Linked DNA regions of Drosophila melanogaster. The protein of the gene in region 2 interacts with the protein of the main gene of each other region in a pairwise test. Each region holds a gene or a part of one and is shown on either strand. Other genes may lie near its edges.

The links.
Region 1: the proteins of mamo (region 2) and CG31848 interact in a two-hybrid assay, tested with the Drosophila melanogaster proteins (one large-scale study listed by BioGRID).

Annotation. Positions count from the first base shown.
Region 1 is NT_033779.5:13,264,337-13,267,570, reverse strand, and holds CG31848 (uncharacterized protein), read left to right. Parts: upstream 1-1,694; 5' UTR 1,695-1,786; coding exon 1,787-1,789; intron 1,790-1,854; coding exon 1,855-2,490; 3' UTR 2,491-2,575; downstream 2,576-3,234.
Region 2 is NC_004354.4:13,983,199-13,988,265, forward strand, and holds the start of mamo (maternal gene required for meiosis), read right to left. Parts: upstream 3,245-5,067; 5' UTR 3,173-3,244; intron 2,877-3,172; 5' UTR 2,016-2,876; intron 1-2,015.

The DNA.
Region 1 (3,234 bases), on a different chromosome or scaffold from region 2:
GTTTAAAGAAAGCCCAAAGCAAATTTTTTCCACATCATATATAAAACTATTAGGGCTACGCCGTAGTTCCTTCTGCTTTCTTTGCTGTCCAGATCTGTTTTGAATCGCTTTAGAAGTTAAACAATTGAAATGAAAATATTTGCAACCCATTTGCCAGGTTGCAAGTGCGCTTATCAGTAAATGTGCGCAGAACAAAGAGTTACAATTCAAGCAGCCAAGTACAATGGGTTGTACAATCGATTTACATTTGGCCGATCAGGGGACATGCAAACAAAGGTGCTGTATTGGAGCCTAGGTGGTCGAATGACTCAACCATCGATTGTGGGAATTGAATTTAACCTTTTTTGACAAGGGGCAGCCGACAAATGGTCTGCTGACTCACATCGGCGGAGAAGAATCACTGAAATTTTTGGGGGAACCTATAACAGAATCACTACTATGTGGACCAGCCGTTTTCCGTCTCGCAGAGATACGCTTACGCAGTTGAATTATTTTTAGGCATGAGCTAAAGTTGCTCCGAATTAAGATGGCATTTGCCCGGCCTTTCTGTTAGTATCCGACTTTAATCACTCACTCACTCACTAATTATTAAATTGAAAACACACGCGCTGCGCACAAAAAGTATCTCGTAGGTTCGTTTTTTTTATCTGTATCTGAGGAGCGCACTGGGCGACTGATCGCAGCGGACTCTCGAGACGCATTGAAGTCGGGTTCGGTTCGCCGGAGGTTGGACGGCACATCTGAGTTGGCTTGTTCGGCAACTTGTTGCAGATACATTTCCAGTCGCTTTGATGGTATTGGTGGTGCCGCAAAAGGAAAATCGATCGCTTGACAAACGGCCGACTGGCACGCGGACTGTATAGCAATTTATTTGTCTGTCAATGCAGTTCGATGATGGCGACAAATTTCCAGCTAAACGCCAAAAAGACTTTGCGACGCTTTCGTTTATCTGTATCTGGTATCTTTCGGCTGTATCTGCATCTCTTATCGTGCTACTAATTGTTTTCACTCTACTGTCATGTCGTCTGCTTATTACTTCTGTCGCTTTTCACGATTAAGCCAAATCGAAAGAACGGGTATCTCCCACTTCGGCATTATCTTTAGTTCGGGGGATTTCTTTATCGAATCTGCGCACTCGGCTTGCTCTAATTAACTCATTTGAACAATCATCTGCGGAAATGTGGCCCACTAGCCTTGACAGACAAATAAGATGTTATCTTTTCTGCTGTTTTTTTCTTTCAGTCTTATTTTCATTTTTTGCGACTGCTTTGTGCACAGTTAAATAATAATTGGCAAGAAAGCGTTAAGGAATTTAAAACGCGGAATGACTGGGCTAAAATCATTTTCTTTTGTCGCTCGACATCCACAATTTGTACGAAGTAAAAAACTTAAAATGCCACAAAGAAGGGGAAAGTCAAGAGACAACATCGGCAAACGATTATTGTGGATAGTTCTGGTCATCTACTTTCATTTGATCCCATTATATAGTTTTAACCATGAGCAAGAAAAGTATTTTTGTGTAGCTTTAATAATTTAACTGAACCATATCGACATTTTGGAATATCGAGCAGTTGACTGTAAATAAGTATATAATGAATGTATTTTTAGTATTGGATAATATAATCAACTCCATAAATTCCCTTAAAAGCTAAAGTCACTTTTTAGGAAATATGATTAGCCAAGCGTTTCCTTTCAAGTCACTGACATTTCATAGACATTACCAGATTTCTCAGTTTAATTTCTTAACGAATACTTGGAGAAATACCATTTATCCAGTTCAGAAACTATGGTAAGTTAAAACAAATGCAAGAAAAGCCGCGTGAACTGACCGTTCCATAAAATCTCAACCCCAAGTACCAACGATTCGCCAATTTGAATCTGGAGGCCCTCTATGGAATTCCGGCTATGTGTCCAGTGACCAATTGCCAGGCGCAGATGTCGCCACTCGAGATGCTGGCCCATCTGATGATGCGGCACAGTCCGCAGGACTCGATGATCGAGATTGCTGAGGACGTGCCCAAGCAGTACGAAGTGGATATTGATAAATTGACACCGGGTCGAAATCATTCGATTGGAGTCATCGCCTATGAGGGAGCCCCAAAGCCGGGTCTTAGTTGTGCTGTTACTTCGGATCTGCAGATTGTCCACCATCTGCCCATTATCCTGATGCTCTATGTGAGCCCTCCTATTCTGAACACCGAGCAGGCCTACATCTTATACCTGGTGAGTGCTGTGCCCTCCAGTCTGGTGAGTGCCAATGTAACACTCCTCGACGGATTCCATGCCCACGAGAAGCGCGGATGGCGTTGCCTGCGCAATTCCCTGGACAGTCCATTGATGGATAGTCAGAATCGGCTGTATTGCAACACGGACTACCTCCTGTACACGGCCACCGACATTCGGGAGCTGTGCCTCTCCGGAGAGCAGCGTAGGATCTTCGTCAAGATCGTGCTACACGGCGAGCCCGATCCCTTCCAAGTGGACGCCTAGCAAAAGGTGTCCGGACGAGTGACTCATTTGGTTCAATAAACACTTAAGTGCTGCGCCGCCAATTGACGCACACTTGAAATTCGAGTGGCTGTCAATAATATTCGTTCCTCAAAGAACTGTCAGTGAAATTGGTTTCCCTATTCATTCAATATTTCTGCTTTGGCTGGCCAGAAACTGGGTCAGACAGAGATATTTGGTTTTGTGCAGACATCAATCATGGGGGCCATCTAATTAGTTAGCCACAGGCCTCTGATTGCGGAAAATACTAGAGTCATTTCTTCTGACCGTGAAGAATGGGATTTTTAATTATGTGTTAAATGTTGCTGTGCTCTTTTTGAAAAAAACAATTTCGTTTGATTTTCTCTTTTCACTTTCGTTTCATTTTGTGACCCACTTAGTTGCAGTAGGTTCTTAAATGCAATAGCTTTTTAAAACGATTTTATAAACAATATAGCTAAACATTAAAATAAATGTATTTTTTAGCAAAGTATAAAACATAAGCAAATGCTTAGATCAACGCCTTTAGGTCTAGCGGTTAATCTCATAAATTATCCGAAACTATATAGAAATTAAAGAAACGCAAGAAACATAAACACCTACAAACACACAGATGCGATGCTATTTATAAGAAACTTAATTTTGCAAACATAAAACGAAAGAAAATTTATACCCCATTAAATACGAAACGATCTCTCACGGAAAAGTAAAAGGAAAAACAAAGATGGATAATCCAATAAAAATTAG
Region 2 (5,067 bases):
GATGCACAAACAAACAAAAAAAAACGCACGCAAGCCATTAAAAAAAAAAACAACAACAAAAAAAGAGGAGAAAAAATACGAAACGAAACAAAACAGGCTGACTTGAGGCACTTAAAACACCCGAGACCCCATAATGAGTTAATAATTTCAACCGCTGGCAAGTCGACCGGCAGTTGCTCATTAGTTGCACTCACAGGCACACTCACACACACACACACACAATCACACTCGCGGAAAATAATTAGAAAAAAACACACGAGCGAAAACTGTTGCACATAAAAAAAGAGAAGAAAAACACACGAACAATATCCACACAAAGGCAACGCAATTACGCGAATTGTAATGAATTTTTGCAAACGAAAATGTAACTGAAATTAAACGAAATGGAAATGTCAAAAAATAAAACATGATATACTATATGATATTAGAATATTTTGCAAATCTTGTTGCGTCTGCGCAGTATGGCAAAAAATAATAAAAAATAATACTATTTGAAAAACAAAACAGAAACAAAAAAAAAAAAAACACGAAAGAAGCCATTAAAACGGCGCTCAAAAACCCCCCACCAAGTGCAATGGGAATGATATTCGTTTGTATGGACTCATTTCTTATAAATATTTATAATTGCGATAAAGTCGAGAGACAGCGATGGGAATGAGGATAAGGCGCGCTAAGAAGCTAGACAGTGCGTTTCGTCTTGTTAAGGTCTTGTGTTGTGGGTTTTTAATTACATGAAGTGCAGACTTCTCTTAAAAAAAAAAATCCACTTTAATTTTAGAACAAAACACTTATATAAGCTTAATAAATTATATTCGTTTCAAATCGTAGCTATATAAAGGAGATATATTGCTTATAATACTTAAAATAAAATCTAACATAACTTACACTACGTTTATAACATTCTATAGTGCTAACAAAACATGTCATCTATTCAAGTTGAATCTTAAAGTTTTCCAATTTCTTTAGCGTTTTTTTTTTTTTGCCCAATTTCCTGATTAACTAAGCTAAACAAAAAAAAAAAGCGATGATTAGTTGGCGCCTCTGGTGGCGCCGGAAGTTCGAGAATTTTCTTCTTGCCGATTCTATTCGCTGGCGACTTCTAAAACTGACCAAGCATTTAGTTAACTTACTTTTCTTTTTGCCAATTTATTGATTGGCTTACTATTTATTTCTTTATTTTTTTTTTTTTGTCTCTTTTTGCTTTGTCGATATATGCATTTTATTTTTTGCCAGTTGTTGTGGCCCAGAAAAGTGCATTTCCATTTTACATATTTGATAACATTCAGCAAATTTTTCCAAAAGCGCATCCGGTTCAAACGGGAAGTGCTACAGTCGTCGCCAAAAGAGCGGTTGATAAAAAAAAAATATATATATATATATATATATATATATATATGGAAAGGGTAACAAAACTGATTCGTGAATAGAGTTATGTATACGTCTGGGTGTTTTATTGCCATTTTTTATATCAACTAACTTATGTTTATCTTCACACTTAACTATAGGCATTACGATTAAGTTCTTTATAATCAGCAATAACTGAAGTCTGTCTGAATAATAATATACAAATATTATATATATATAATCAAAAATATTATATCTAGCATACATTTATAGTAGCAATGACCCTAAAGTGTATTTCTTATCAAAGTTAAATTGTTTAGCACCTTATTTTAGTTAAGTCACCAATGGCTAGTAATTTTGCAAATATTTTATTTAATTAACGCCGTTTTTTTTTTGCAATTCAAAGTTATAGTTTATTCAAGGCTTCTATGGACAAAATTAATCGCAAACAAGTTTTTGTCCAACACTTTCCATTCCTCTCACTTCACACTTTTGCTATTAATCCATTTATGGCCAAAATTCATCCAAACCTAACACTTTTCTTATCGAGTAGCACTTCGTGTTCGATTTTTGACCCACGCAAACACTTGATAAAATAATATCGCAAACGAAGTGCCAAATAAATGATTCGATGATTTGAAAAATTGTTTGAAAAGTAAAAAAAAACTCACCATAAACGCCAAACACCGCAGTTTCAAAACTTTGTTCTCGTTCTTCTTCTTGTTGTTGGTGTTGTTGTTGATGCCTTTGCCGCAGTTGTTGGTTTTGTTGTTGTTGATGTTTTGGGTGAATTTCTTGTGGTTGTTGTTGTTGTTGATGTTGTTGTTGCACTTGCTGTTTGCATTGAATTAAATTTGACTTGATTTTTGTTTATTTCCACTTTTCTGTTTTCTGCGGTTCGCACAAATTTTTCACTTGGAAAAAATTGTTGTAATTTTGTTGAAATCAAAGAATTAAGGTGCAAAATAGGTTTAATTTCCTTTAACACAACCTTAGAGCATGTTTTTTGTTTAAATTGTTTGCGTTTTTCTATTTGAAATGAAATTGTAGTTTTTGAGATGGGGAAAAAAACACAAAATAATTGCGGGATATTTTTCGGTATTTACTTTAGGCTGTTTAGATTTCGAAAAATGCTCCAAGTCCAAAAAAGTTGTTGTAAGTTTTTCTAAAGTTTTTAGCTTGTTGTCGCTTTTGTTGTTGTTGTTGTTGTTGTTGTTGTTGTTCACACACACACACGTGCAAAGCCGCCTTGAGTTGTTGTTTCATTTGGTTGTTGTGGTTGTTGTTGATGTTGTTGTTCTTGCGGTTGTTGTTGCTGCTGCAGTTGTTGCCCCTGTTGTAGATGTAGTTGTTGTGGTTGTTGCATTGTTGAAATACAAAAAAATTACGCTTAAGGATTTTCTTGCTTCTTTTGTGTGGTTGTTGTTGTTGTTGACTTTGTTAAAAACTTTCGCTGTTACTTCATTTATTTGTAATTTTTTATTTTATAATAATATATTTATAAAACATTTTTGTTGTGTTTAAGTTTATGCCTGGGAAAAAGTATACAAAAACTAGTGTTAGAAACCGACGCAGAGCACTTGAAAAAAATTCAAAAAAAAATTAATTTCATGAATGAAGGACAGAAATGAATGCAAAAGGACCTATTACTCGAAATTCGTGTTTCCAAAAACCGCGCACAAAAATAAAGAAGAAAAAAAAAATAAACGATAAAGAATCCAAAATATTTTCCGTACAAATATTCGTAAAATATTTGAATATTTTGTCGCTTGGCAAAATGTAATTTATTTGCTGTTTGCGGCTAAGGCTAACGAAAATAAACACGAACGAACGTATGAAAGTGTCTGCAAGAACTGCAATCGCATCGCGTGTGAAATCTCTGCGAAAGTCCAAAGCCGACAGAGCTGCAAAACCAAAAAGCCTGGCCAAAAGCCCAAAACCCAAAGAGCATTGGCGTTGGCAGCGCGGCGGCAGCGCTGCGACTGCGACTGCGTTGCTTCGTATTGCCGAGTGATTCCCGTTCGCCTATGTGTGGGTGCCCCTGCACATCGTAGTCCATACGTATGTGTGTGTGTGTGTGTGTGTGTGTGTGAGTGGTGTGTGCTTGTACTAAGAGCGCCGCACGCGCTTCGTAAAAGAGCAGCGTCGGTGAAAAACGCAGCAAAGCTGAGCCAAAATGCACCTCGTTTCCCACCGCGAGTCACTTTTTCTCTTTCACTCAATCGCAGAAAGTGCACGGTGCGGCGCTCTCTCTTTTCGCTCGCTCGCTCTCTCTCTCTCTTCGCAGTGGACAACGCAGCGTATGCGTAATCTGTACGAGTGCAGCAACATATCATTCAGAAAATAAAACCCACAAACACTCACACAACCGTCTGCCATATGTTTCCCGAAAGTTTTTGGGGTTCAAATAAAAGGACAAAGAAAGGTCCAACAAATTAATACGCAGGACAAGAACTCTAGTTGAATGTGCATTATTTTTAATAATGCCATATATGCCCTCAAATCACTCAAATAAAATTGAAACTATCATTTTTATCAATCTTAAAACGGAATGCAATCTGATCGATTTTAATGGTTTGCAAGAAAAATATTAAAAACTGATAAATTCAACAAAACAAAAAAAACAAGGTTCGAAACTATTCTTTTAAATTTTTTATTAAATTCAATAAATTTGCTTTAATAAATCTAACAAGTTTTAATACATTTTCCAACAAAAATGATGAACTTATCATTTTTAAATAATTATGTTTATTCACTGGTTTAAAAAAAAGTGCGATTTTATGTGCATGCCACAAAATTAGTAGTAAAGCACATGAATAAGGCTAAATGAAAAATGTGGCAATTCGTTTTAATTCATTTTCATACAAAATTTAAAATCGAAAATTGTAATCTTTAATTACAATTACTTTCACACTAAAACCTTAAAAGTTTTAGTTGAGTATAATACAAATACATTTAAAATTGAAGTATGGAAATATTTAAACTTTAAATAATACAATGCAATTGCCAAATTGACATAAAAAAGAAACAGTAAAAAAATCATTGAAATATCATTTAATATTTAGAGTTCTAATATGCACTAAAAATTCCGCTCAGAATATTTTCAACAGAGCTCTGCGATATTCCGTCGGCAATTTCTAATCTGATGTCTAAGCTGCAGTTTTTTTTTTTTTTTTTTTTTTTGGGTTTTTTTTTTGGCACTTGTTAATCAATTCACAAATTCAGGACAAGTGACAATTTAAGAAAACACATTACAATATTAGTTACATATTATTTTTTGAGGGCCTGTTGCAATAAATAGCCACTACCTAGCTACTAAAAATTTGCCTAAAATATTTATACACTTAATTCGGAATTGACATTCTTTATAACTGCAACTAACTTCTTAAAAACATAGTTTCAATCCTTCAAAACACTGGATATTTGAATCTTTCCTTTCGTGGTTTCGAAATGTTATTATTAGAACTTGTCAACACTTGTAAATAAGAATGAGTAAGCACACAAATTCAAACATAAAATGGTGTACAAATGAAACATGAAACATTATGCATTTTCGAAATGATAAACAATATCCTTTGAATGACTTTAGTTGTCCTTGGAAAACGCAACATCACTAGTTTCCCTCTTAAGACTTTTAACTTGGCTATGCATGATTAAAATCCTTAGAAAAACACATGACCTTTTGGGGCACTTAAGTGATCCTCAACAAACACAAAATACGAA